Danio rerio: one gene and its partner. The protein of the gene in region 1 purifies or fractionates together with the protein of each later gene. This does not show direct contact. Links are inferred from orthologs where the notes say so. Each region holds a gene or a part of one and is shown on either strand. Other genes may lie near its edges.

What was found.
Region 2: the proteins of drg1 (region 1) and ntmt1 purify together in Homo sapiens (affinity purification with mass spectrometry; 3 studies listed by BioGRID and IntAct, counting the BioPlex papers as one, with this or other methods). This does not show direct contact. The link is inferred for Danio rerio from reciprocal best matches to the Homo sapiens genes DRG1 and NTMT1.

Annotation. Positions count from the first base shown.
Region 1 is NC_133185.1:22,529,850-22,545,650, reverse strand, and holds the start of drg1 (developmentally-regulated GTP-binding protein 1), read right to left. Parts: upstream 8,455-15,801; 5' UTR 8,339-8,454; coding exon 8,300-8,338; intron 8,073-8,299; coding exon 7,949-8,072; intron 5,453-7,948; coding exon 5,277-5,452; intron 5,083-5,276; coding exon 5,013-5,082; intron 4,918-5,012; coding exon 4,748-4,917; intron 3,496-4,747; coding exon 3,365-3,495; intron 3,285-3,364; coding exon 3,117-3,284; intron 1,322-3,116; coding exon 1,199-1,321; intron 1-1,198. Other genes in the region: kcnn2 (small conductance calcium-activated potassium channel protein 2), read right to left, coding at 15,263-15,538. UniProt on the Homo sapiens protein: Catalyzes the conversion of GTP to GDP through hydrolysis of the gamma-phosphate bond in GTP. Appears to have an intrinsic GTPase activity that is stimulated by ZC3H15/DFRP1 binding likely by increasing the affinity for the potassium ions.
Region 2 is NC_133180.1:33,156,255-33,172,228, reverse strand, and holds the start of ntmt1 (N-terminal Xaa-Pro-Lys N-methyltransferase 1), read left to right. Parts: upstream 1-7,108; 5' UTR 7,109-7,237; intron 7,238-15,974. UniProt on the Homo sapiens protein: Distributive alpha-N-methyltransferase that methylates the N-terminus of target proteins containing the N-terminal motif [Ala/Gly/Pro/Ser]-Pro-Lys when the initiator Met is cleaved.

The DNA of each region.
Region 1 (15,801 bases):
CTCTCGGTAGGAAATAAACAGTGCGTCAGCTCATGAGTGATTTTGTGGCCACGAATACATCATTACATTAAGACAGAAAAGACTTTTTTTGATGAAATAAACCTTATAAATACAGTGTGTGACACATTTAACACAATTTGTCCATGTTACTGAGCAATGAATATAAAATGTGAAGACATGTGTGACCTCCTTAACGCTTCTCTCCTGACCTTAAAAACAATTGGCTGAATTGTAGAAAAGCTGAGTTAATATTGTGTGTAGGGTCGAATCGAGATCGCCATCTTCTTTTGATTAATCGTGCAGCTCTACATTTTACTGAAACAAATTATGGAGTGGTTGAACGCTAATAAATCAATGATGCTACTGGTAACTACAACAATTAAAATGCTTAATTGATAATTGAAACAAAATTCAATAAAAAAACCTGGTATCACTTTATTTTGATGGTCCCTACTGCGCATCTTGTTGACTAATATTTACATTGCAACTACATGCCAACTAATTCTCATTAGATTACAAGTAGAGTGATAGGTCAGGGTTACAGTTAGTGTAAGTTAACGTACTTTCAAAGTTTCTTATAGTCAGTTTAATGTTGAAGGAGCAGTATCAACAGATATCAAGAAGACAGTCTACTAATGGTCTAATGAGAATGAATTAGCATGTAGTTGCAATGCAACTTTTAGTCAACAAAATGTTCAACAGGGACCATCAAAATAAAGTATTACCAAAAACCCTATAACAAAAAAGTGGAAATTACACCACAACCTCTAAGTGAGGGGGAAATATTTTAATAGAATAACTTCTAAATAAAAACTAAACCTTCACTGATATACAGGTATCCTAAATAAATAAATAAATACATAAATAAAGGGCTTTTTGGACAGAATGTAGAGACAAAATCTTCCCAACAGAAGGAAGCAGAAACACACTGTATGTTCACTTTAACCTTGGAATAAAGTTCAGGATATGAGCTGATGTGTGTAAAATGTAGATAACTAGTGCTGCCATTACATCAGAGACAACGGTTATCAAGAACTGAATTCAGATCACAATGATTTTATCCTTTGGATCTCAATACAGACGAACAATGACGTCCAAAGGAAATGCATAATCACATTACATCAGAACTGACTCAAGGCAAAAACATCAATGAGATCAACTTCAGTCCACGTGCAGGAAATAAACATTAGTCACTTACTATTTGAATTCTTTGATGAGGTTTTTGTGAATCTTTAGGCAGAAGTCCTCGACAGCGGTCCTTCCGTCTGGAAGAACGACAGGTGCTGTGTAATCAGGAAGCTGTCCCTTCGGCTTTGTGTAGCTGTGAAAAATCAGTCAGTGTTATTATACATCCTGCTGAGGCTTTATGACACACAGTGCAAACTTTAAAGTCTCCCAGAGAGCACTAGACAGCAGAACACTGTGATGCATTACAGTACATTACATTACCTTCCTGCAAGCGTCTCTTAGGCTTTTTCACTCAAAATAAAGTTTCAGTAAACTGTTTCTTCAGCAAGTCACTGATTTCCCTTACAGCGATTTAATTAAGTTGCCTAAAAATATATATGTATTTATTTAGCTCAACCAAAAATGAACATTTACACAATACTCATTCTCCCTCATGTAGCTACAAACCTTTGAGTTTCTTTCTTCTGTTGAACAGAAAAGATTATATTTTGAAGATAGCTACAAACTTGTATTGATAGATGTGTAGTATTTGGTTTTTCCCTTATGTGGAAGTCAATGGTATAGAGGTTTTAGCCGTCTTTAGAATATCAATGTTACGTCACAGCTATTTTAAAACACTTGGAAATTCCAATAGTTTTCTGCAGGAGCGTTAATCTCTGTGAGCCTATAAATCATTCAGGTATAATGAAATAGTATAGTACATTACTGAGAGTTTACAGTCTGTGCTGATCTTGGATCATTACACATTTGCAGATGATTTAAAGCGGAGCTATTAAGCCTCTTTTTACTAGATGCAAAATAAGTCTCTGACGTCCCTAGAGTGTGTTTGAAGTTTTAGCTCAAAATACCTAACGAATCGTATTTTATAACTCCTTGAAACTGAAACTTTCAGGCTTTCACCAGAATTGTGCAGTTTTGGTGGCTCTCTCTTTAAACTCAAATGACATTGAGCTGCAAACACCTATGCTTTAGCATAGAAGCAGATTCAAAGAATGAATGTTCTCTCTATCAATGACTGAAGGCTAAGGAGGAGGCAGTCTATGGAGCCTACAGTGTTCATTTGTGCATCCCAAAACTCAGCATTTAAAATGTCTCTTAGTCGCTCACATTATCTTTAGCAAGTATGGTGAAAACACTAATGGTGGACAGCTGCTTCTCACTCAGGGCTGTTTATGTCACTAAGGACAGATTGACACCATGGGGTGGGGCTTTCCTCCCTGATGACATGCTCAAAGTTTTTATCAAGTGTGATAATAAAAAAGGTAATTATTATTATTTTTTTTTATTTGAAGCTGGCTATATTCACACACTGTTGCCACATAACTGTGCCCAAACTCCTTATGGAAGTGATTTTTGCACAATAGGTCCACTTTAATGAGAGGTTTTTGAGATGCATTTAGAGGACTGACCAACAGGTGGCGCCAGGATGTTGCGTTTCAAAAAACACTGAACACTTTGAAACACTGAATCATTTCACCAAGCAATTGTTTCGGTTGATTTAAAGCTTTGATTCTTCCATTTTTACTTTTATCATCTCAGTTTTCACAATTAGATGTTTTTTGCAGTTTACACTATGATGTCATATGGATGTGAATTATGTGTTCAGTTTTTAGGTATACGCAAATATGTACTACAGGACTGTAGTGTTTCTTAACAAGAGAAGTCACCAATCTCGGTCCTGGAGGGCCGGTGTCCCTGCAGGGTTTAGCTCCAACTTGCTTCAACACACTTGCCTGGGTGATTCAAGTATACCTAGTAACACCTTAATTAGCTTGTTTAGGTGTGTTGGATTAGGGTTGGAGCTAAAAATCTGCAGGACACATACCTTCAGGAATAAGTTTGGTGACCACTGCTTTACGAAGTGAAAAATCATCAAACTCCGCTGTCATGTAAAAAATTGCTCCCAGAATGCAGTGAAGGTAACTCACATGCGCACTAGTTGCAGGTAATCCCAGATCTTTTCCAACAGGTCATCAAAGTTCCAGCGGTGGTGAGCGGAGATGGGCACGCAGTGAGGGATTTTGTAGATAACGTCCAGCTCCTCGATGGAGATTTGGTCGATTTTGTTGAGGACATAGATGCAGGGAATGTAAACCCTAGAGGAGGAAAACCAGCATGTGAAAATCTCTTCTGAAGTGAGAACGCTTGAGGATTGAGGTTGAGAATTTGCTCCTACCGGTTTCCCTCCACCACGTCAATAAGGTCATCGGCTGTAGCGTCGCTGCGTAGGGTAATATCTGCATTGTGGATCTTATACTCGGAAAGGATGCTTTTGACAGTGTCACCGTCCAGCTCACTTTGGGCACACTAAAACAGAAAGACACAATGACAATTGCAAACACAACTTATCTGATGAATGACAGACATTAAAAGATGGAAGCACATGTGATTCTGGCCTACTGGAACAGAATTGTAGCCAAAATAAACAATATTTTTGGACTGGACATAGATATAAAACCCTTTGTCCCTTCTTCTGAGTTTTCCTTGCAAACTAATCAGGAACAAGTATGAACAACGACTCCTCTGCCTGTTAACTTTTGCTGTCAGGAAGAACATTTTGATGTCATAGATCAATGATAAGCTCCCTTCCTTAAGAGGATGGCATTCAATAACTCAAGAGATTATTCCCCTGGAATACTTAACATGTCTAAGCCACTCCACAACTGATATATTTATTCGCACTTGGACACCATATCTGGACAGTATAAACCTTGCTTTATGTGACATTTTGAAACTCGGAATGACAATGTCCGTATAGACATTCATTCTTGTTTTCTGTTTTCATCAAACTTTTCACTCTTCCTGCCATATTGTAATGTTTATAACATAATAGCTTATGGCTTTGGCCATATGTATATTTTAGTATATGCAGTTGTGTTTTGTGTCAGGCATTTTATGTTGTGTTTGTATTTTTGTTTTGTGTATGTCAAAAAAGAAAAAACAAATAAAAACATTTAAAAAAAAAAGAAAAGAAAAGATGGAAGCGAACATGCTGAGGCAAGCAAAAAGGCATTAACAATATGGCTAAAACTAATGAAATGATTAAAAAAATTATAAAAAAAATATGCCAATTCTGTTCATGTTATGAGAAACTGATTAGTGTCAAAAAAATGTGTATTCTCTTTTACGATATACATATAAGTCAAATTGCTTTTCAAATGATAAATGTAAAATTAAACTTTGGTAAAAAAATAGATAAAATCATTGTATCAAAAGGACATTTATAAATAATGTAATATAAATGATAATAAACCCTTTAATATTTCACAATATTAATTAATAAAGTACTGATATAGCCATAATTTACTTACAACTAAATTAAGAACAGTGTATTAGATTATGTAATTTGGAAATTAGTACTGGACAAATATTATAACTGCAATGATAGACATATTGATTTTTAAAAAATGGAGAAAAAAAGCTAATAAAAATGCATTTTGTAATATTATTTCATTACATATAATTATATTAACTTTACATCAACAAACATTTGAAACTTTTTAATACCCAAGTGTGTAAATGTATGCAATAAAGAGCTAATAGTACACTGAAGTCATACAGTGGCAGTGAAGTTGATTCCGCCCTTGTCTTTCTTCTTGAAGCCAATATTTGGTGGTTGCTTGTTGAGCCGAATACCAAAACCTTCCAACTCGTGTTCAATAAGCTTCTTGTGTCCGAGGGGCTTCAGTACATCCAAGACAATCAGAATCAGGTTACAAGTGCGAGCAACTGTTGGAATGAAGAAAAGTTTAGGGAAATGCCAATTAAAAAAACAGAACTGCACTACAAGTGTCTTGTTATTATCTGTGTTAACAGTCTATTACCAGCAATGACTTGTCGTCCTCTTCCTTTGCCGTCTTTTGCCCCCTCAATGATACCTGGGAGATCCAGAAGCTAACAAAGAAAATAAGAAACACACCATTAAAACGATAGACCTTACATTCAGAATGCATCATTTATGTCAGTCATTCAGCAAGGTTGTACACCTACTTTACAAAATGATGAATCACTAAATCATGTTATACCTTTCAACACTGTCCAAACGCAACTTAATCAGGTATGTAATGGACTACTGCAAAATGGTTCACCTGGATTTTCGCTCCTTTGTAACGGATCACTCCTGGTACAGTTGTCAGTGTTGTGAATTCATAGGCAGCCACTTCAGAATACACACCAGCCAAGTTACTCAGAAGAGTGGATTTGCCTACTGATGGGAAGCCCACAAAACCTATTCGGGCATCACCGGTTTTAGCCACATCAAAACCTGAGGGGGGAAAAACCAGGTTGGTGAAAAAATGAAAGCCATAATTGACTCTGGAGCTCCTGTTAGACAATAGAAGCATGAAACTTCAAGACAAGATATGAACCCCTTTTTATAGACTTAAACCATGTTTAATCCAAAGTTTAAAAAGAATACACAGTGCACTAATTCATCCCATTTATTTAATTTGATCATTTTTAAACTGACAATTTATCAATAAAAATGAAAGTTGCTGCAACACTTAAGCAATTGCATGTCAAGTTTTCTTGCTTGTAGGCATGCCATCTCCAGAACGCAAGTTATTTTTTATTCCTGGTTTGTATTTCAAAACACAATGTTGTGAGTTCTTGGACGCAAGTTTACCAAATGATTTTGATTACAGCTTGAAAATAAAGAAATCAAAAAAGCAAACATGAGTACTTTAATCATTTACAACACAATACTATTATTACAATACTTCTAATTTTGCATAATTATTTCATTTGTAAAAATAATCACAAAATAAATGTGAAAATTATTATAGACCTTTTGAGTTTGTCCAATTGTCAAAATAGATGAAAATATGAAGGCCTGTCACAATAATCAATATATCGACTTGCAAAACTTTGAGATGACCTCAATAATTTTACCTGCTAAAATATACATTTACAATTCATAAATAACCTTAAAGCCATCTTACATTGACATTTACATTCTACCTTACCAGTGTCGAAGTTTATCATGGAACATTTATCTATAATATAATAGCATATATGTAGCCGCTATGTCCCTAGAACCAATCAGAAGGCATGAATCGAATCATATGTTTTCAATTTAACGACACGCTGATACACCGGCTTTTATGAGGAGACTTTATTCCACTTTTACTTGAGATTTTAAAAGATGGAGTTTGATGAACTGGATGAGCTTGTTCGACTGTCAGTGAATGGCAAATAAAAACATCCCTTACCTTTAAACTGTGTGCATTATAAGAAAAAGAAAACACACTGTACATTTGGAACTGTGGATATATTCATAACGTTTTTTTTTTTTTTTTGCGTGCAGTGACGCTATAAATAGGTCCTATTTACTACACATTAAACAGCAACTCCATTTCATGAAAGACGAAGTAAGGATGTCGTTCTTTTATCCCACATGGATGCTATGAGGATAAACAAGACACGAAAAAGAGACAGAGACCTTGATTATGGTGAGAATGAATGAATGAATGACAGCTTCTAAAACTGTCTGACAGACATCCCCTTTTTGCCCAGTAGGCCTACCTTGTGTTTTATTTGTTAATGTTAGCTATTTTTTAAAAATAATAAATATAATGTATAAAACTATACATAATATTTATATCTTGATATTACTTATATATCTGATAAGCGTTTTATATTCATGGACAATGCAAAGATAATGATGTTTCACAATGTTTTACACTACGTTTAGTTTGCAATGTTTACTGTGCTCTACTTACAATAACATCAGAAATGACAACAGATTGTTAAGCTTTAATAAATTTCAATTTTAATGTTAATGATTAATGCACTTACTTGACAGATTTCATTCATTCATTTTCTTTCTGTTTAGTCCCTGGTTAATCAGGGGTCGCCACAGTGAAATGAACCGCCACTTACTTGACATGTTTATGTATTTATAATTTTCGGTGTTTTGTGCAATGCGCTATATGTTAGGGTAAATTATTCTTTAGTGATTCTAATTACACTTTCTTGGTGGATTTAGGGGTTTTTGCAAAAAAAAAATAAATAAATAAAAGCACAAGTGGATTTAGCTGGTTTTGACGCAAAAGAAAAACTACCTTGTTAAAAAAAATATGTCTAAAGTGACATTTTTGAAAAAATGTTATTTTATTTACTAGCTAATAACCTTTTTTATTATCTATAAAATTAAACTTCTGAACCTAATTATAGAAGCCTGATAGAAAATGCTCATTTACAAAAAAAGAGGTCTTGTGGATTTAGACAAGAGGGTTTTGCATATGAACTCTTCATATAAACAGTCGCATAAAACGATTTTAAAACTACAACATTGCTTATCGCAACAATTTCTGTGACAATATATCACACAACAAAACTCCTTATTGTGACAGGCCTAGGCAGTTTATGAAAAGCTAGTAAAACACTAGAAAAACTGCTCCCTTGCATAACTAACCAAAAGTTACCATGATTTAAGCAAATGGATTATCATCACAGCAAATACGACTTACTAAACAGTAACCATGCTTGATTTGTTTTATTTGTAGTAAACCCATGGTTAATCTTGAATACCTTGAGGACAATAGTGCCACCTCACTGCACCCAGATTTAAACACTTCATTGAAAGTCTACTGTTTAACAGATGAAACCACCATCTCTTAAACTAACGATTAAGGGGTGTAAGAAAAAGTTGGATAAAAGTTTAGCAATACCAAACTTCCCCTTTTGAAGAGCCTGTGAATGTAAATAGCTGTCTGATGTGATGAGAGGCAGGTGTAGGTGATGATAGTGCAGTACCAACCCTCTCCAGTGCCTCCTCCACTGCCTCCTTTAGGGGTGATGAGTTCTCTCCTCAGTTTGGCTAATCTGGCCTTCAGGAGCCCCAGATGATGAGCGGTGGCCTTATTCTTCTGAGTCCGAGCCATCTGCAGCACACAGCCCGTTCAGAAAACCGCACATTCACGATGACAATATCAACATAACAACAGATTTCCACAGAGTTCAACATTGTATAGGATTTAAATGGTCTGTGTATTAAATGTCCAGTTTATTTCTGAAATAAGGTACAGCAGGACAGACTGTTGAATGGGTTTGGCGCTAAAATGCTAACAGCCGTTTTTCATAAAGTAATTCACTGTAAATGTCAACCCACCTCGTTCTCGATTTCGGCTATTTTGGCCAGTAAACTCATTTTGGCGTTGGTCCTTTCAAAGTTGTATCTTGAGAAAATTAAAAATCAGTGTTTTCGGAATTACGCAGCTATTTAGCTCAAAAGCACACGGTTGTCATGCTTTGCCGGGAGTTCACGGCCACGCTTCGTGTTCCCGCGATACTTCGGCTCTTCACGTGGCTGTGACATGATGAGGAGGGCTCCGTCTTCTGGTAAGGAGCAAATAATTCCAAGATACTTGAGGAAAAGAAATGCGCCAATAAAGATGGATAGATAAAGGCTGTTTTGATTAAACACAAACACATTTGTGGCAGGGAAAGTACTGTGAACCAAACTAAGACTGTATGAATTCAACATGATTCAACAATTAATTTTTAACAGGAGCCTAATTCACATTTCGGAAGATGTGGTAGATATTTTTGTACAAGAAACACATGTTAATAAAGAAACATAGGCTTCTGAAAATGACTGTTCTGAAAGAAAAAAAACAAAGACATTTATGACAGGGAAGTTATGTGAACCGTAAACCCAGACTATAAATTCAACATGATGAGGAAAATTAAGCTGTTGTTCAACCATTAATAATAAACAATAAATAAACACTCACCCTCAGGTTATCCGTGTTGGTGATTCCCTCAGCAGAACATTGAAAAATGTATTTTTAGATATTCATAAAAAAGTACAATACATAAAAGATTTATCTGTACAAAACTGATTTAGCTTATCTTTTCTTTAATCCAGTCTCAGCCAACATTCCTAAGACTGAATAATGCCAGTGTGTTAGACCTCATGTGAGCTGATGCTGTTTGTTTACAATGAAGATGAGCGCAGTTTCAGCTAATAATGAGGAAAAAGGTCATCTGCATCTTAAATGGCTGGATGGGCAAATTCACAAGTTAAAAATAGTACAGTAATTTCTAATGTCTTCCAACCATACTTTAATACTTGAATTAATCTGTTGTGATAATAGTATAGTTGCTGTGGTAATACAGATATAATATGAACAAATTACCCAATACTGTACTGTTTTCTAGAAATATATATTTACAAAAATACACTACAGTTTGCTGTAGTATAACAACTAAAGTGGGCGTCACAGTGGTGCAGTGGTCAGTACGATCACCTCACAGCAAGAAGGTCGCTGGATCAAGCCTCGGCTGGGTCAGTTGGCGTTTCTGTGTGGAGTTTTCATGTTCTCCTTGTGTTTGCGTGGGTTTCCTCCGGGTAGTCTTGTTTCCCCCACAGTCCAAAAGACATGTGCTATAGGTTAATTGGGCAAGCTAAATTGTCTGCAGTGTATGTGTGTGTGAATGAGTGTGTATGGATGTTTCCCAGTGATGGGTTGCAGCTAAAAGGGCATCTGCTGCGTAAAACATATGCTGGATAAGTTAGTGGTTCATTCTGCTGTGATGACTAATGAATAAATTTATAACACAGTTCATGATATTCATTCACTATAAATAACAATAGTATTTTTTCTTGTGGGTTATCCTGTTAGGTTCTATCTTTTTTTGTGTGTGTAATTGTAACAGTTTTTGTTAAATCAAACCATCCAAATTGCATGATGAACCTACATTTTTACATGTACTTTTAGTTTAATAATCTTTTATATTTAATATTCCGTTTTTACATGGTACTAAATTACTTGTATGCAGCATGTCTATTTATTTTTTGTATAAAATATTATTTGCAAAATTGAGACAGTCATTAAGATTTACTTATGAGCAAATATGAGAAAAAGTGTTTGCCCCTAATAATTTATCACATTTTAATGTTTCAGATCATGAAACAAGTTTAAATACATGTCAAAGTTAACATAAGTAAAGACATCATACAGTTTGAAAATGTTTATTATTATAATTTTTAAGTGAAAACAAAACTGCTTAGCCCTGTGTGAAAGTGTTTTTGCAGTCTGTATATATGTTAGTCACAAAATTGCTCATGACTAGTTGTGCTTGTTTTTTTAAGTAATGTTATATAAATATATATATATATATATATATATATATATATATATATATATATATATATATATATATATATATATATATATATATATTGTATAATTTATAATAAGTCTCCACTTCACTTCCTAATCTGCAATTGCCTCTCTGGATATACCACTAACTGTACTCAAAAAAAAAAAAAAAAAAAAATTACTAATACTTTACTTCTTAGACTTTACAGACCTGAAACTTGCCTATAGCACTTATTCATTGTTGCTCTTATAGTTGTGTAAATTGCTTCCTTGTCCTCATTTGTAAGTCGCTTTGGATAAAAGTGTCTGCTAAATGACTAAATGTAAATGTACCAAGCACCAACCATAATGTTTAGTATAGCATTAACACTCTTACTATACTCAATTAAAGTTTGGATGTGTGCCTTTCATTTTGAAAGCTTCTATGTCGATCTCACTATTTCTGTACATTTATTGCACAGTCCCTCATTGACCGAGATCATATGGTATGCTGTGTGCATGCAAGAAGAACAGGGAAAGCATAACTCACTATGACAATGTTGTTTCCAATTTACCACTGGTGTTGGATGAACTGTCATGAATCTAGATACATTTAGAGCACAGAAGTCCTTTTTTAGAAGACACTTGGCGCCTTTTTTGACAAAAAAAATAATAAACATTTTTTCAGAACAATTAACCCCTTTTGAATTATAGCATAACTGTTTCTGGACCATTTATAAGAAATAATAATAAAACATAAAAATCAATCAGTCAATCAATGATTAAAAATATATTAGTTAAAACAAGCAGAACTCATGAAGTGCAATTGTATGTAAGTAATATACTTAGACATTAAATATCCATCATTTCAAAAATGGTAATCATAAACAAAAAATAAATAACTGTAAAAAACACATAGCTAACATAACATAAATTAGACATCAAAATTAATGCTCACATACACACACAGTTATTTTTCTGTTAAATAGTTTTGTTTTATTTGTTATATTCATTTTGCATACAGTATTTTATCACTCATAGTTTCTATGTTGGTGAAATTGCTGGATCCACCATCATTTCGTTAGGTTCTTGTAACCCCATAATGACATTGCACTCTGGGATGTTGTTGTTGCTGGGCCAAGTTATGAAATGCACCAATATATCCAACATGAACCCATCGTATATCTTTAGAATCTAAAGTGCACAGATCTATCAATAACATGCTATCAGTAAATGATAGTAAAGTAAGGTGAACTGGTCATCTTCTCTCCTACAATAAATAGTCCTGCAGTTATCAGTTCTTTGCATCAGACAGACATTTGCGTACTGAATGGCACGAGACCGACTGATCAGAAAATAAGCATGAAACTCCTTTATTTTGAATTGTGCTGTGAATTCGTTTGACCTTTAACACCAGTTAGAAAAACAGAGGCTGAATTCGACGGATATGCCAGAAGGCCATCCTAGAGAAATCCATTACAGTGCAAAGGTACAGTTCAGCTTACTGGGAGATCTTAAAATGTCTTCACACTAAGCAGGTTTGGCTTGAATAAAATTAACTCCGGGCATATTGCTCTGCTAGTAGGGATAAGTATTGCTATCAGTTCTAGTGATTTGATTTTTTAATTAGATTAACATGATTTCAATTCAATTAGATTTAACCATATTTCATTTGAAATAGTGTATATAGAGTCACCGATTATTGTGGGGTCTGCTGTTGTGTTTTTTTTTCTTTTTTTCTTTTTGTAGACACAGTATTAGCTCTTGCAGGCACAACCTGCAAAAATCTGTGGTTTCTGTTGACCTCGTCTATATTATTACATTTAATTCTAATGTTTTTAAAATACTTTTCAAATTTCAGTAGGTGCTCCTTTAATGGGGTATATGCACACAAATTCTTCATTTCAGTCAGCCAGCCCCAGGGCTTCCGGTTAATTTTCATCCCATACAAAATCGCTGCGGTTAGGATCTGATTTCTTTAAAAAACAGCGATTTTCACTGCCTGGCTGAGATATGATATAAAACCGGTATCAGACCAAACAAGAAGCACTGCATCAAGTTTTATTTTTCTGTGCCATGTCTTTAAAATATGGAAATTAATTTTACCCTAGTATTATCAATGGAGTTTCTGCTAGCCTGCTGCTAATGATGGTGCCTGTGTGTAAACTGTCTTTTTATACTTTAACAACCAAATGGATGCTTAAGTCTATTTAACTGATTATATTTGAATTACATTACAACATTGATGCTGTAAAAGGAATCCATAAAACTGAAAATACTCACAAATTTTTTAATGAAAGTTCATCATTGGCTAAAAATACTAGCTGTACATATAGCCTATTAGCTACCATGACCTTCTGTCATGATTCTTTTTGTTTCACTTTAACCTTTTAACTTCCACTTCTTTGGTTTAATTGTGACACCACTCATTGCTAATTTTTCTATTATTATTTTTTTATTAAAGAGTTAAAGGCATAGTTCATCCAAAAATGAAAATGATCTCATTATATTCATCTGCTTTTCAATCTATTTGATTTAGTTTTTTTGTTAAACACAAAAGAAGATATTTTGAAGAATGCTGGTTGCTGGGACCAATCAACATCCATAGTTGGAAAAAAGATTGCAATGGAAGTCGATGGGTCCCAACAACCAGCATTTTCAAAATAACTTCTTTTGTATTAACCAGCCCCTATTATGGGTTGTTGAAAATGACCTTCCATGCAGTGTGCAACAACGCTCTAAGTAAAAGAAAACATTCAGCTGAGGTTTAAATCCGAAAGAGCACCTTGTTTAAAACTAACAATTTTTTAATAAAAGATTCGACTGATTCGTTTAAATTATTTTGTCTGTTTGTATTGATGTCGACAAGAAACAATACCAAATATGAAGTGCCAGATCGGGTAAACTGTAAATGCGCCTTTTCCTTCAGACAATAGCAGTGCAGGTGTGTGTGGGACTGATCAGGACTGAAGATAAGTGAACATTCTAGTGATTAATGCAGAAATCTACCCTGCAACGGGGGATTTGTCGGGCGTCTGTTAAAGGAAAGATCAGAAAAGACTTTTGATGTATGGGAGTCTTTTAGAGCTTACCGGGATCTTTACAGTACACGAATCAGTTCCTTCCTTCATTTCAAAAGTGTAAGTAAGTGCGATTAAAATGGTTGCCTACTTGTTTCCTCGAGCTTGCAAAATATGCATTTAATTGTGTTAGTGTTACTTGTACGCTGCTTGTACTGTATCTGGTCAACTCTTTATATTCTCATATCATGTCTAAAGCCATGCTAAAAATGCAAGGCGTGTCGCTGTCTTCACGGATTCAAATGTGTTTGTGAGCTCGCGATCCTCTGCTGTTTGTCGTTGCTATGGCCACCGTCAGCTGTTCCTACACGTGTGGCCGTCAAGTTTCGAAATAGTTCAGCTTTTGCCACTGTGTGGATTAATACTAAATGTTGTTGTTGTTTTTACTTATGGTTAGGAACATAGTAATAGGCTGGTGTTTAACTGCATTGCTTTGATGAACTCTTGCATTGGGCTCACAAATACACTCTGCACTACTTCAACAATGTTGATAAGCCGTGGTGGGCGTTTCTCTCTGTCTCGCGCTGAACACACTCGACCAATCACAATACACTGGGTCATCAGAACGCTGCCATTTGAACCTTTGAGCACACCAAGCAAGTATACAAGTTAAAAATGACAGTGTGATTGCTAAGTGAACTAAAAGAACCACAAACTACAAGTGTGAACAAATCTTTAAGATCTCCCAGAAGACTATCCATTTCCTTACTTTCTGTCCATGTTTAAAGCTTTGGTTCTGTTCCACTTACAAACTCAAACACATTTTTTACCACACATCCTTCGAGAAAGACATACGCATTTGGAGGTGTGCTTGTCCTCGTTATTATACAAAAATAGGCATTTCCAAACATATACAAGATAGTTGCTGCTCTTAAACAGATCTACGTCTGTGAATAGCATTCAGTAGATCTGGTCTCATTTAAGCACAGAGCACAGTGAACCGAGAAGGTTTCCTCTCAGCTGCTCCATAGAGATGCGTCAATTGCCATCGGAACTAATGGAGAGTTTGAAACGTTGGTGCAATAACCGCAGCGATCTAACAACTACATTGTAAGCACAGTCATTTCAGTAGAGGTCTCATTGCTGCCCTTGCCGTAGCCTACACAATCATTATCGTTGTACATTCTGGCCATTATCCTATGACTAAAGGTGTCTTTTTTATTTGAATGAGCAACATAAATTCATATTATAGTCAGTAAGCATTGAAGTGCATTGATAAAAAGTGCAAGTATAGATTCAGATGCATTCATTTCGAGAGGAGTAAATTGTTTTGCAACATGGCCCCCGGAATAGTCACTTTTAGAGGGCTTACAACAGAAGAACACTACAGCTGATGCCGTTTCTAACCTAAAAGATATATGCTTTCCTTTGAGAGTGTAAATCTAGGGGTTTCGCTATTTGGACAGGAAGGGGACGCATTCCTCATCTGCCCCTGTCTTGGGTTCAGACATGCTATTAGTTCCTCGATAAAGAGTTATTAATGCCTGTTGATTCAAGAAACAGGTCAGATCTCATTCACATATACAGAGACAGACAATTCTGTAGGAAGCACTAGTCTGGCACTGTTTGGCGCCATTTGAGGTCGTCACATTGCTTTCCTGAATTAAGTCCCGCAGGAAGGACTTGCTCACCTGATAGCCCCATCTTTCCATCATTAGTTACTGAGAAAAGTCTCTCTGTGATCCTGTCAACAGAGAAACAGCATCATTTATTGAGGTAAAAAAAAAACAAATCGACAAGATATGTGTGGAAGATATCCATTTCAAATGCATTATCCACAGTAACCTCTGATGGTGCCATCAGAACTTGGATAATACTTTATTGAAACCATAAGGCTTTACAGTAAAATGCAACTTGGCCATATGATGGCGAAAGTCTTCTCCGGAAATGCCGGCTGGGCGGTCAGCTCTAGCTGCTCTCGGATGAAGTGGGAGGCGCGGTGGAAGACGATCTGCGCCGGGAGACAGACTGCGAGCGCTCGTGGCTGTGTTTGTCGTATGGCTGGAGTTGCACCTCCAGGAAGTCCCGGTGTTGCTGGCTGATCACCTGACTGATGAGGCCCGGGAGTGCCTGTAAGTTGCTGAGCAAGGTCTCAAGTTTGGTCTCCAGCAGTGCAATCCTCTTTTCCATGTCCTCGCCTCGCTCGTTCAGGTCCGAGACCAGGTCGTACATGACGTTTTGAGTCTGAGATGAAGCGAGGGAGAAGTTAGAGTTAACAGACATTCGTACATGATCACTCCAACAGTCTGGTACAATAAGTCTAGTGCGGCGCGATCAATATTTATAAGACCTCTTTTATCATCTGACAATAAAAGATGACAAAATCAGTCATGTCACAGAGGACATGTCAAACCCAGCGGCATGTGGCAGGCGTTCTAAAAAAGGGCTCGATTGATGGATTGTCCTGATGAGAAATGAAGTGCGCCGTCCATATTTTTAGACATCTC
Region 2 (15,974 bases), on another chromosome or scaffold:
GTGTGCAGAGTCTTGTGGACGTGCCATGCTGTGCTAAACTGTACTAACCTCTCAGTGGGTGGCTGCAGTGCTGGAGCTCAAACAGACATGAAAAGGATTTGGGGGGACAATAATTTAGCTTTTCCTCTGCTTCATATGGAACTCTCGCCTTCACTCTCTTCATAGGCATTTCAAAGCCTGGCCAGAAAGGCAGAATGAAGTATTGTTCAAGAAGACTATCCATTCAGTATTAAGCTCAAAATGTTTGCACCGACACTGCCAGCCCCCCCATGAGTACGTACGGTTTATTTTTGGTTGTGCCAATTCTTTGAAGGTTTGCCAGTCCTGCCAGAATTTAGCAGTGTTCCTACTCTTGAAATACTGAGTGAGTAGGAGTGGAAAGGGTGTGGTGCGGTCCATTCTTAGCAGTGTGCAGTACGCCTGGCTTTAGAAATATCATGACTATCATCATTAGAGGAAGGCTATTTTGTCACAGATGACGATTACGTAAAAGATGAACACAGGAAGATCAGCGCATATCCATAAATAAATCTTCCTCTGTCCAAGAAAGACATATCAGAAACTTTTAATGCAATTTGCATATCAAGTTTCTTGTCCAAGTTGAGTCTAAAATCATTATCTCACTTATTCCTTTTATACCGTAAAAAAGTCTTTATGTCAGATTCAGTTTCTATCTGTGGGCTGAGGAACATCTACATAGACAAGGTTAAACTGTTGAACCTAAATATATAGCCAATCACAGATTGTGGATTGTATTCACGTATCTTTTTGAACTATAGACCATCACTGAAAAAAATAAACAGTGTTGCAATCTCTGTGCATCCAAAAGTTATCTATAGAACATACAAGAAGAAATTTTCATACCACAACAAAAGGATTACAACAAAATTGGATAGCACTGACTTGCATTGTATCGGCAAAAACATTTTTCAAAATATCCTCCTTTCTTTTCGGCAGCAACATCATAAAAGGGAGAACTTCAATAGAGTGAGGGAGAAAGTAATGACAGGATATTGTGTATCTATTCAGACCTGTCGGAAGAAAAATGGCAGGTGGGCTGAAGGAAAATTCTTTTTCTGACAGTAGGTGGTGCTTATGAAAGAGCTGAAAATGGCCACTAAACAAAAAGAGCTGAGCAATGCTTTATTTAAGACTTCTGGTCAGTCAAACAAAATTGAAATGTTCTCAAACAGCTCTGAAGAATTTTGTAATTTCAGTGTTTACTGCCAAATACAAGACTACACAGAAAAGGGGCTGGTTCCTGTAAAAAAATAGCAGCAAATGAACATTGGTTCGTAAGTTTTGTTTTGGTATGTAATGAAAATATATTTCAACATCTTCAAGGGATTTATAGATTTATTTATTCTTAATGTAGACAATAAGAGTCCCATTGAGCAGCCTCTTCTTCCAGGGAGGCCTGATTTACCTTTTCGTATTTGATTAAGAGGACACGGAAGCATTTCTTTCATTCATTCATTCATTTTGTTTTCGGCTTAGTCCCTTTATTAATCAGGGGACAACGGAATGAACTTATCCAGCATATGTGTTACACAGCGGATGCACCTCCAGCTGCAAACCGGAACTGGGAAACACCCATACACTCTTGCATTCACATACACTCTGGCCAATTTAGCTCATTAAATTCATCATGTCTTTTGACTGTGGGGGAAAACCAGAGCAACCGGAGGAAACTCACGTGAACACGAGGAGAACATGCAAACTCCACAAAGAAATGCCAACTGACTCAGCCGGGGCTTGAACCAGCGACCTACTTGCTGTAAGGCCACAGCGCTACCCACTGCGCCATCTTGTTGCCTTAAAAGCATTTCATTGGATTGAAAACTACACTTGAATACTATTGCACTTGTGCAGGACCTAGGTTAGTGTGATTAGGTTAGTGTGATTTTATTTTAAGTAGGACATCTGTGCTGATCCTGGAACAGTATTACAATAAGCGAATCAGATTTAAGTAATAAGTTTACAGTTTAAGCAAAGTTTAAGCTTACATTTAGGGTTTTAAACTTCTACATAGTTGTTATTTAACACCCCCCTGATTATGGTAATAATTTACAATTAGAGTTTGGTTTAGGGGTAGCAATTAGGTATGGATTAGATTTTTTGGAATAAAAATGATGTTCCAGGATCAACATATCACATCCACCATCAGGGATGCAGAAATATCATAATGAAGTATGACGTGTGATACGAGCTGTTGATTTTGGAGAATGAAATGTCATGTGTGACTGACACAAGTCAAATGTGACTGTCACTTTATTCTACAACAATTCAATTTGTGTAGTGGAGCACAGCAACGTTCCATCAGTCCTCTTTTGACAGCTAGCCTTGTAGTTTGTTTGCTTTTTGTCACAGTAATGTTCAGTTTTACTGCTTGATATATATACAGTTAACATGGCACAAAGCTACATGTGCTCATCTCTTAATTAAACAAATAAGTAATGGAAGGATAGTAGCATGTCAACACAGCTAGAAACTGCATATTTGTGCAATGTGTGCGATGCATGTGCACGTTATATTCACATTCATCACTCAGTCACTCACTTTAGCTTAGTTCCTGATTTATCAGGAGCTGTCACAGTGGAATGAACCGCCAGCTAGTCTGGCAACAGTTTTATGAGGCGGATGCTCTTCCAGCCGCGAGCTTGCACTGAGGGTGCACTCACACTATGCCATCCAAACCATATCCAGGTGTGTTTTTCAGTTTGTTTGACAAGTGTGAATGCCCCAAATCGTGCTCAGGCGCAGTTCAGTTAGCCGGCCCTGGCCCAGTTGGAAGAGATGTGCCAGATCCAGAACTGTAGATGCAACGTTACTTTTAAGCGATTGTTTCATATGGATTTAATAATCATTCTTACTTTTCAATAAACGCGAACTGTCGTAGTTTATTATAGATGGAAACCCTTCACTGTTTGTCAGCTGCACCTTCAGCTACTTAGTGGTACGGTACAGTACGGTATGATATGGCTGTTTCCACTGTCAAAAGGTATCTAAAGGCAAACTGTACTCTATAGGCAAACTCCACTTTTTGGGTACCCTTTGCAAAGGGTTCCTAGCAAAGCAAAAGGGTATCAAAAGGCGGAGCTAGATGCACAACTGAACGCTATTGGTTTACAGAAATATGGCACTCGCTTGTGGATAAGCCAGAATGAAAACAAAGTAGCTGCCATGTTTTAAATACACAGATGAGACATTACACCATAATAATGTATACATATAATAACGAGCCATGGTCGACCCGAGCTCAAACAAACCTTGTCATTATCTTGATGAACAATGTGCCCCGTAGTTTTTTACATGGTTGTCTAAAGCTCAAGCTGTTTCACTTTCTCCAAAGAGCGTCGATATTTGAAATAACAAACTTCTTGTGCTGATGATTATAACATGCATGTGATTATTGAAATGATTATGACAGCCGATCCTGTCAGAAATGAACAAACGCGAGAGTGACCTGCGAAAAAACAAAGGAGAAGCCAGAAAAAAACAAAGGAGCTAATGATTGTTTCAACAACCTAAAACATCGATAAACTGCCCTGTTTAACTATGATCATCGCCTTTTGGACTATTATGAACTTGCAAAGACGGAATTACTTTCTAACAAGAGGCTACACATGCTGCTGAAGATTAAAGACACATTAGAGGTTTGCTCTGACTGTAGTCTATGATGCGTGTTGTTTTTGAACCTAGATAGAAAGGTTGGTAATAAACATTTATACATAAGTATTTATGTATGAAACTTTGTCTTACACCACGCCCACCAAAAAAGTACCATTGGTACCCTTTTAGCATCGAAAAGCATTTATAGCATAGCATTTAGCGAGCCTGATAAAGGTGACCCATACCAACCCGTACAGTACCATACTGTACTACTCAATGTAAACGGGCCATAATATGTGCAGCACGAAGATTTTCGTGAACATTTATGTGCTTCAAAAGTGGTTGATCTGATCGGCAAAATATTTGACAGCGTGTCACTGCATCCTCAATTATTAAAGCAATATAACTAAAGCAACCTCTGCTGTCCTGAGCAAGACTGCTTCTCTTCCTGTTAAACTGAACAGTCACATCATTGATGACGTAAGCATGCTCAGGTTTGGAAGGCAAAATGCAGTGTGAGTACAGGCCGTCGGGGAGAGGGGAAGGGGGACAATCGCGCTTTGGCACAGTTCAAGGCAACTATACCTAGTGTGAGTATGCCCTGAGAGTACTCAACCTCAGGAAGCTCCAGTGCTGGAAACACCCATACACTCTCTTATTTATACACACACTCATACAGTAAGGCCAATTTAGTCAATTCAAATCACCTATATTGCATGTCTTTGGACTGTGGGGGAAATTGGAGCACCCGGAGGAAACCCACACAACTCAGAAATGCCACCTGGCCCATCTACACTGCAAAAAATGCTTTTCTTGCTTAGATTTTTTGTCTTGTTTCTAGTCTAAATATCTAAAATTTCTTATATCAAGAAGCATTTTCCAGACAATCAAAACATATTGTCTTATTTTGAGAAATAATATGCCAATATTAAGTGAGTTTTTTTCTTAAAACAAGCAAAATAATCTGCCAATGGGGTAAGCAAATTAATCTTGTTTTTTTTTCTTTTTTTGACGTAAGATTATTTTGCTTACCCCATTGGCAGATTATTTTGCTTGTTCTAAGGAAAAACTCACTTAATATGGACATATTATTTCTCAAAACAAGACAATATGTTTTGCTTGTCCAGAAAATTCTTCTTGATTTAGGAGTTTTTAGATATTTGGACTAGAAACAAGACAAAAAATCTAAGTAAGAAAAGCATTTTTTGCAGTGTAGGACTTGAACCAGATCACATTCATCAATTAACGTTATTTCATTTTAATTTCAACAAAAGATAACCATGTTAACACATGTTAACCTCTTAAACATGCTTCTGGGGTTAGGTACCAGCCACTGTGTATCACCACCAATATAATCCGTTTTTAAAGGTGCTGTGCTTGTCATTTGGTGTGCAGCACCCTTTACGTAATTTTGTATTTTTTGTTAATCCAATGCTTCGAAACCACTGCCTCGCTGACTCAAGTTCAAGTCCCAGCTTGGGGACCTTTCCTGATCCCGTACAGCTCTCACTATCACTTAATTTCCTGTCAATTCACTATACTGTCCAATCTCAACAAAGCCCAACACAGAGCAAAAATAAATCCTCAACAAAAATTCCTGACAAATGTTTGTGACAGTCTAGTCGTAGAACAGCTGTTCATTCAGATGAAAACATTCAATCATACTAAGCATTTATCTTGGTGTAACAACACATTTTCTCAGCCATTCCAAGCCGGATTCTTCTAACTAAGGCTTTAATTAACGAAATTACTTAACAGTAACTGTTCTTTATTCTATCTCCATTGCTCATGCTCTCTGTCATCACATTCTATGAATAGACAATGACAAGGATGCTTGTTTCCTTCGCATGTGAACCAGCGCAACTACACTGCAGCTCCAACCAACCAGCTCACCAACACACACCGGTGCATGAACACCTTTACACCAACTTCAAATAGGCTAGGCTCAAACAACCTCTCTCCCTGGCCCTCAGCTAGCCTCCCAGAAAGCCTTTCTATTTCACAGACGCATGGATAGGAGAAAAAGGAGGGAAAAATGAAGCTCGGATGGAGGAGAGGGGGTGGGTGGGGGGCTGTTGCGGGGGAGGGACCGAAAGGGGGTGAAGGGGGGTGTTAGGCAGCATTGTAATGATGGAGAGCAACTCGATACTCTTGCATGCTGAATATTCCCCTGGAGGGCTTTTTCCATTACCCGAGCACAGCAGAATGGTGGAGTCGTTTAGTTTAGCCCAAGCTGCCTAACGCTCTCTCAAGCTCCCCCTCCCTTTCTCTCACCCTCTCTGTTCCCCTGCTGCCCCTCCCCTCTCTCCTGTTCTGTGTTTTTCCATAGGCACATTGTGCAAATGTAACCTTTCAGTAAGCCCCTCCCCTCCAGGAAGTTGGCTGGCCCCTTTGCTGCCAGGAAATATGAAAAACTGGCAGGATGCCCATTTAATCTCCAAACAGAGAGCTAGCGCGCGAGCGAGAGAGAGAAACAGCGAAGCAGTTGAGATGGAGAAGGAAATGTTACAGTTTGACTCACCAGAAGGGAGGGGGAGAGAGGACAATTTTACTTTAGAGAGTCACATTAACGATAGCGCTATGAAAAATTGCCTGATTTTCTGTGTTGTTGCTGTTTTACAGCGAATGTCATCAGATCTTAAAACTTACCATTGTGTATTTTGGAGGTCGGAGATGTGTTGTAACGCACAGTAAATTGTTACGTCATCAGTTTAACTAACATTAAACATTTAATGCCCCATCCACACAGAGACGCAAAAAAACAAATAAATAAATAAAAACTAAATTGAATAGGCATTAATACATCTTTTGGGAGAATGAAACGAGGCCATAGCATTTTCATGTGAACTGCCAAACCGTATATTTTGTGAAACAATGGTGTCGTCAGCCCACACATCGACCCTAGTCAGACAGCACTACTACAAGTAACAGCGACAACAACATTAGTGGACAACTGTATATACACATTCATGCTGCAGCAGCTATTAAGCGTAATAAATTAACAAAAAAATATTCGCCATTAGGGCTGGGCGATTAATTGAAAAGTAATCAAAATCGACATTCAGAATCTATAATCGGTCAAATTTTTTACAGGTCATTTTTTTCAATGACTTTTCCCACTTTGTGTGGAGACACATGACCCTGCACTGTTATGCTGGGTTCACACCAGATGCGGATGAAGCATCAAGCAAGAGTGATTTACACGTTAAGTCAATGGAAAGATGCGAATAGACATCCTGTGTCGCGATACGCACTAATAAGGCGAATTGAATGATGCGATTCGCACAAATGGAGCTGCAGCAGTTGAAAGTTTTTTTGCGATTGAATCGCTCGAGTTGGAAAATCTAAACTTCAGTGGACATTTGCAATGCGTTATGTAGGGGCATGATTATGACGTAGTGCCTGTTGTTGGTGTCCCGGGGGAAAATCCTCTTGCCGACACCGGTCAATATCTAATCAAACTGGGCTTGGCTCAGTCTGAAGCACCGCTGAAAGCTTCCATGATCCAGGTACAGTTTCTAGAGGAGATGAACTCACAGGGCTGGGTGCACCTCTGAATGGATCTAGTGGACTCAGACAAGGCTTCAAAAGAATCGACGCTGATTATCAGCCTTCCTAAAGCACGGTAACACAGCTATTCTCTAAATAAAATCCATGTTAGCTATTTGGCAATGAATGTAGAGTTACCGGACAGACAGATACCCCGCCCATGACGTGAATCCATGTTTATTGCTCAGTGAATTTGATGTGCGAATGAAGCGAGTAAACTCAAAATGTTCACACGTCTATTTACAAACGAATAGCATGATTTATCCATGCACACCGCATCTGGTGTGAACACAGTATTAAGGCTGATTTGTACTTCTGCGTCGAATGCACGGGTATGGTACGGCACAGCCTTCGTTGGGTTGTATACCCGCAAGCCTCTCAAAAAATGTAACTACACATTGAACGTTTTCATTAAATTGATGAAGATTGGAAGCTGCGCCAGATATGCCTTGAGATGGCATATTGTCTGTTACAACAAAATTATAATTTACATTAAAATATTTGTTTACAGAAGATTCAAAAAAGCACTGTTTAAAACATTATTATCAGGATATACAAGAGTTATTTAATTTTTTTTTAAATACTGCTTAATTTCTATATTTAGAAAATTCATACATTCATTTTCTTTTCAGCATAGTCCCTTTGTTTATCTGGGGTTGCCACAGCAGAATGAACCACCAAGCATATGTTTTACGCAGCGGATGCCCTTCCAGATGCAACCCATCACTGGGAAACATCCATACATTCACACACACACACATACACTACGGTCAATTTAGCTTGTTGTTAGACTGTTGGTTTTAGGCAATGTGTGTTTTAATTACAGTTGCTCATAGTCGATGTTCAATAAATAATAATAGATAATAGTTTTTTTTTTCCTTCAGTAATTTAAAATCAAGTAATTCATTCAGAAATCACTTACTTGTAATATGTGTGCATGTCTATTGTACAAAACCTGTCAGTGAACTGTGGGGGCAAAAAATAAAATAATCAGTTATTAACTACAGTCGAGTTAAAATCTTCAATTAATCGAGATTTTGATTTTAGGCCAAATTGCCCAGCCCAAGTTCATCTTCTTTGTGATTTGTATGTAGCATGCGAGGTTTAACTGTGTGCCTTTCTCATTTTTGTATATCTCTGTAAAAGAATTACAGAATTTTAAAAAAAAAGGATAGCTCTGGCTTTGTGTGGATGTAGCCTAGTCTCTGTGCATAAATAATAAGGTTTAATAGTGGTTAGCACTGTCGCCTCACAGCAAGTAGGTCAGTGGTTCAAGTCCAGGCTAGGCCGGTTGGCATTTCTGTATGGAGTTTGCATGTTCTCCCCATGTTGGCGTGGGATTACTCAGAGTTCTCTGGTTTCCCCCACTCTCAAAACACATATAGTAGTCTAAACAACTTTAGGTATAGGAGAGTTGAATAGACGAAATAGTCCGTAGTGTGTGTGTGTGTGTGAATGAGTGTGTGTGGTTGTTTCCCAGTACTGGATTGCAGCTGAAAAGGCATCCACTGCGTGAAACATCTGCTGGAATACTTGGCAGTAAATTCTGCTGTGGGAACCTCTGAAATAGAAACTCAGCCGTAGGAAAATGAATGAAAGAATCAGTTTACTACAAATTCTGTTTTAAAAGTCTACATTTTATTTATACCTCATTTAATTTGATTTGCAGCATTTACTCTAAACATTGACCTAAATGTTAGAATAGAAAAATAACATTCACATTATTATAAAAAAAATATTCCTTAATAGATAAAATTAAGTATTGTAACATTACTCTCCATGCTTATTTATACCAGGGTAGTTTCAAACACTGAAGAAATAGGGCTGTTTACACAGTAGCATTTGGCACAATTGCGAAGCTAGCTAAAATGCACACACTGCTTCTGCTGGTGTTATTGTCTTTGTAGGCACATAAAATGCTTAAAAATTAATTATTTTACTTTTTCTTAAAATAAAAAGTACTGACTTGTAATAACAATTGTGTTATGTTCAATATGGTCTCCCTGTTACAGTACATAAACAATGTTTGAATACTAGGCAAGGCAAGTTTACTTATAGAACACATGTCATAAACATTGGTAATTCAAAGTGCTTTTCATTGAGTAATAAAACAAGAATAAAAGAGACAATTAAAATAAAATAAAAACAAAGAATAAAATTGATAATACATAATATTGCGATCTGTTGGACATAGCATATTGCTCATTCAGTAAAGGCACAGATAAACATATGTGTTTTCAGTCTTGATTTGAATGTGCCTAATGTTGGAGCACATCTGATCATTACATCTGATCAATACAGACACAAACTACATTTTTTAACATCTTTTACAATATGGAAATTTGATCTGATATCAGCAACTCTTTTATTTTGTTGAAAGTCAATAACTCGTGTAAGCAGATCAATCTTTGTGTGTATTTCTGTGTCTGATAACAAAACACAGATGTGGTGGAGAATGAATATTATTTTAGATTCTAAACCATAGAAAACAAGGTGACATTAAAGAAAACTTCTAGGTCTTTATTATCCCAAAATCATTCTCAATCCTGTCTTTTTTCAGTGATGAACTCAAACACTGCCAACATCATGTCTTCTTTCTGAGAAAGATTCTTATAAAGCACACATTAGCTGTATTATATCATGTCCAAGGCACTGATCAAGACCCTTATGGTGAGCAGCACACATCTAAACTGGAACAACCATCAGAAAAAATAGATAATGAATCTGCCAATAAATTAATTACATATCATGTCAATACAGATAATATTAAGTAAAAAATTATTGGCAGATAATGATAGCATCACCAATATATTGTGCATCAGCATGTACTATGTGATCCCTGTGGGATCTTGGGTAAAAGTCATTACACACTTTATTACACTTCATGACTGCAGCACCAACTTTCTGACACAAATTTGTTCCAGGACTAATTTATAAGACCAATTTTTTAAGAATTTTTTTTAAGTGTTAGAGCTTTCATTCAATCATTCATTTTCTTTTTGGCTTAGTCCCTTTATTAATCTGAGATCGCCACAGCGGAATGAACCACCAACTTATCCAGCATATGTTTTACGCAGCGGATGCCCTTCCAGCTACAACCCATCACTGGGAAACACCCATACACTCTCATTTACGCACATACACTATGGACAATTTTAGCATATGACTTTGGACTTGTGGGGCAAACCTGAGCACCCGGATGAAACCCACGAGAACATGCAAACTCCACACAGAAATGCCAACTGACCCAGCCGAGGCTCAAACCGGCGACCTTCTTGCTGTGAGGCGACATCACAGCCTACTGCGCCACCGTATTGCCCTTGTTAGAACTTTAGAACGATTTTGAACTGTTTTGTTAGAGATCCACTGTATAGTGTAGTATAATATTATTAGAGATCCACTCATTGGATATATACATAAATGAATTCACCCCTTGAATTAATATTTTTTCAACCATTTCTCAGTGAATGTAAACAATTTATTTTGGTGCGTTTAAACAAAACTATTTTTTTGAACAGGCATATCCATTAAATGAAGAGTTTGGTCAATTAAGATCTTTAGGAATAGAAAGATGTTACATTTAACTTCAAAGGAGATATTGCAAAATAATAAAACATTTTATATATTTTTATATTATGTTTCTCTTAATTTTTCCTGTTTATTAAAATTGTATTTAATATTTTTTTCCCACATATTATTTTGGGTGTACTAATTTTTGAACTGTGATTTAAATTTTTTTTGTTAGATCCAATTTTGTCTTTGGTACCGACTAATCTAATCTATATACACAAAAATATTATTATAAAGCATCCTGTAGAAAGTAATAATTTTAAAGAAAATATTATTATATGCTGAGCAGTGTTTATAGCCTGATATTACAATTTTACTTTTGTCATGAAAACAGATCATTGTTAATCATGTTTTAAGGGAGTAAAGTTTACAACCAAATGTTTAAGTTGTACTAGCAAGCTTAGTAAACTTATGTAAACATAGATTGGATCGGTTAAATATACAATAGGCTAACATTATTTTTGTTGTCTAACAAACTAAACTACATTTTGTACAGATTTTATATTGTTTAAATATTTAAGTATTATTCCCCTAAATATATATATAGAAGAATATATAGAAGGTCGCTGGTTCGAGCCTCGGCTGGGTCAGTTGGCATTTCTGTGTGGAGTTTGAATGTTCTCCCCGTATTGGCGTGGGTTTCCTCCAGGTGCTCCGGTTTCCCCTACAAATCCAAAGACATGTGGTACAGATGAATTGGGTATGCTAAAATTATCTGTTTATGAGTGTGAATGAGAGTGTATGGATGTTTCCCAGTGATGGGTTGCGGCTGTGTAAAACATATGCTGGATAAGTTGGCGGATCATTCCTCTGTGTCCACCCCAGAAAAATAAAGGGACTAAGTCGAAAAGAAAATGAATGAATATAGAGAAATCATAAAATGTTTCAAGCTAAAAGATATGCAGATGGAGTTAAACTGATCATAAATGAATACATTTAATAGAAGTGAATGCCACATTGTGGTTTATACTTTGGTTCATTTTGAGATATTATGCCTCTGAACATCTGGTTCCTCTGAGCCCTAGGCCCTTTAAGGCCCCTGCATTTTAAATTTTTCCAGGCTAAAAAGGTACCTTTTTTAGTCTTCAGAATTGTCCTTCCTTTGTGGTAACATTTTTGTGGAACAGTCCATATAAACAAAGAATACTTATACAAACAGTCAATCACAGTTATCTGTTATAAGGTGACTGGACATTAGGTGCAAAAATGTTTTCATACTTGAAAAAAAAGCTAAAAATTATAGTAATGAAAGACCAACCAGAAGTTTGTGACTTATACTAAAGTATGGGAGCAATTCCAACGTCATGGATGTGACATTTATTATAAAAACTCAAAACATAAATTCACAAAGAAAGCATATATTAACATTATATTGAAACATTAAAACATATTTTGTAAAACAACTGATCAGAAAGTTAAGGGATCATTAAAATATCACTCTGTAAACATTTTTATATTTTAAATAGGAAAAAAATAATCATGGGTTATTGATGTGACCAAAAAGTGTGAGTTTACAGTATACACAACATACCTTTTCAACTTGGCTGTAAAATAAGAATTTTATATCAGTAGTAAGAAATTTTGGATTAAATTTCCGGCAGTGAGTGCACAACACATGTGAACACACACACACGCATGCACGCACGCACACACACATAGATACACACACACACACACACACACACACACTCACATGCCTGCTTTGCCACACCCTTCAGAGACATTCAGCCTATTTAGCACAACACACACCCAACACAGAAGGTGATACTGCTTCCTAGGCTGGTGTAGCCTACTTAACATACAACAAGCAGGTTGTAAAGATTGCCCCTTACTACTTTTTGTGAAAGGCAGACTCAATCTTATGTAACATCCCACGTCAGTCTCTTCCTGGTAAACAAGAGCGGTGCTGCTCTGGAGCTGAAGAGGTTTTAGAGCACACATTAAAGCTAACTCTGTCAGAGACAGTTTTGCCTAGAGTACACAACCATCCAGCTCTTCTTTATGCCTCTACGTTTCGCCAAAGCACCCCAACAACATAAAGTCTGGTAGAATAACTTCATTTGAGCTTCTAAAAGTTGTGTTCATAAGGGTTGGCTGTTTAACTTGGAGAACAAACACACAAAACCCAGGCTTGAGGTTGAGCAGCGTAGAACTGTACAGTGACATTTTTGAGGCATTACGGTTGAATGCAATTTCTTGTCATTGATCCAAGAAACTCATGGAATTTGTTACAAGAATTATAGTTGGTAAACAGGAACAACTTTAATTTTTTTTAAATTGACAAAGTGTGTTGATGAGTGCTTTGGTGCTAAAAGCATGAGTCCTGCTGTGGCAGATGAGGTTGACTCACCTCCGCTCCCTGCCCTATCTCCTCTGTGATTTCCAGTCACTGAACTCAGCCCATGTACTTTTTATGGGCCAAATAGTCCACTTCATCTCTTCCTTTGCTAGCAGCGCTGAGTACTGGGCAAGGGCTGGGTCAAAAACACTGGAAAGTGCCCTAACTAACAGTGCCACCTGATGGTGAATAGCTGCTACTACATTAATCACATTACTGTGAGTTGAAATGAGAGCACCACCACAGGTTTACAGTCACAACTGCACAACTGAGATCTCACTGGTTTTAACCTACCTTGATGTCACACCACTACTTTGCTTTGGTTTCAGATGTGATTATATTCAAGGATCTTTGGACTTAGTGAGACTTTTATCTTTGTTTGCACCTTTTGATAAAAGAAGTAAGCAACAAAATAAGATGGCCATTCAGAATATTTGTATCCTCCCTTCTTTTTTTGTGCTTTGGCTCCATTTCCTGGAAGTACTTCCTTAGTTATGACGCACTTCCTGAAGGCTTCTGTGTAATAGGGGGAAACAGTGGGTGTAGGAGAGAACTCATGGAAGGAGATGACTGCTTTCCTGATACACATTTTCAGGTTCCGTTACTATTATGTGGAAGGAGGAGAGGAGGCTAATCTCAAAACAATATGACGAAGAGAAGCTAGTGACTCTTTGATTCATAGATTTCTGAGACTTGGATGTTTTATTATCGTGTTATTACTAAAGGTCTTAAACCTTGTCATCAGATTTCTACTTGATTTAAAGGGATAGTTAAAAGAATTATAGTTTGGCATTATTTACTCACCATCTTGTCATTCCAAACATGTGTAAACAATACAAAACAAGACATTTTAAAGAATGTTAGTAACCCAAAAGTTACTGTTTCATTTGATTGAATTTAATGGTTAAAAATATAATGGAAGTAAGAAGTGTCTGTCATACTCAACGAACCTTCTGATAGTTCCTATAACTATTGGTGCTCTTTGCACCACAGAACAATAACAGTTATTGAAACTTCATTTCGTGGAACTAATTTAGTTGATTTGGTGAATATATGTGGTATAAAACACCAGCACAATAATTGAAATGCTTACAAGAGATACAGAATAGTTCATTTTAGAGCTATTTAGCTGCCACCTTGCTGCGTTGTTTTCTCAGCCTCAACCTTTACCACTACAAGTTGTCACACTTTGTAATTTCATATCATATTATTTATTTGTGCATTTTAAGTCACATAACTCATATGTTTGCATTCCATCTGAATTATCAGAAAACACAAATATACAGCCTCAGTCCTGACATATTTCACCCACCATTTTCAACTGGCTTAGTTATATCCAATCCAGGGTCATTCTGAAAATCTACTCCTATATACATTTCTAAAGAGCGACAAATACGTCCTAGGAGCTACGTGTTTTTGTTTTTGTGAATCCACCAGAGGCTGCTGTGTATGCTGTGAGGTCTCAAATTTCTCTCGCGTGTGTCATTTGCGCCTGCTGTTCTTAGGTAAATCCACCAGAGGTCGCTGTCGACTGACTGACCAACCGACTGATACCACCACCCACCCCCATCCCTAAACCCAACCAATAGTGTTTTTAAAAGTTCAGACTGAACCACCCACCAACTTCCCTAAACCCAACCGACAGTGTTTATAAAAGCAATCCAGAAAAAGAAAAGTCCCCTGATTTTTACCACATTGTCAGATTTTACTATATTCTGACCCTGTTATTTACTTGATTATTTTAATTTTTGGCTTTTGTCTTACCTGCTTTCTGTAACCGTTCATTGCCAGACTCAAACCCCCGTCGTTGCAGTCAACTCCTCTCTGCGTGTCAAGTCCGTCGATGTACATAGCGAGCTACTGGACAAGCTGGTAACAGTGGGGAAGCCATCTATAAAGAGGTAAGGGGTCAGCTGCTAGCATAAAAAAGGAACGCGTACCCCCTCGTAGCGTCCATTTTAAAAATGAAATTCATCACACGCTACATAATTCTTGATCTTCAGAAATAAATTTTGGGCTATGTTTTTAGAATGAGCCTATGTTTGGAGTTCCTATTAATGGTGCTCAGTAATTGCTATAACTAACTGCCTGTTGTTAAAGCAAAATAGCTTCTTTAATGGCCCACAGTACAAAGTTCAGCGTACAGGTTTGGAGTAATACAAGAGCAAATAATAAAAATAAAAAAATGGTTTATTGTCCCTTTCTTAAACTTCCCTAAACTACAGTTGTTTGTGATATAATGCACAATAATAAATCATGACCAAAAATAGATTTTGCCATTGATATATTTGCGCTCTGAATGGTTCCTATTCCTGTGTTATAGAAATTCTAGAGGACATTTGTCTCATGGAACAAAGTGAAGAGCTTCAGTTTCCCACAGATCACCAGTTCTCATCTGTTGAGAAGGATGTATACCATTTCTCTTGTAAAACAGAAAGGTAATTTCTCCGGTAGGTGCTCGTAAGCCATTTGTTTTATAGAGCTGCATGTATTACAGTTAATCTTTACTCTTGGTTAGCCATGAGAACAGCTCCCCTCTCTGGAACGTGGGTTATTGGACTACCATGCTGGAATTTAGGGGGCTAATGGACTTTACACCAAACACACACACACACACAAACAAAGAGGCTAAACCAGAGCCAGGTGATATGTGGTAGGTTCCTGGAAGGATTTTTTTCCCATTTGGTAGAGCAAGTGGGGGATCCCAATAATGTAAACATTCCTTTCACCTCAACATCTCGCTCTCGCCGTGACCCTAAAACACCCTCCCTGCCACATCCCACGTCCACACACGCTGTGAAGACCCTTATCGTACCACACTCCCCCTGAAGCCAGGCTGTTCAGCTACCCCCGCACTGCAGAACCCTGACAGGCGCATGAAACGGCGGGGGCTGGGAGGCATTTG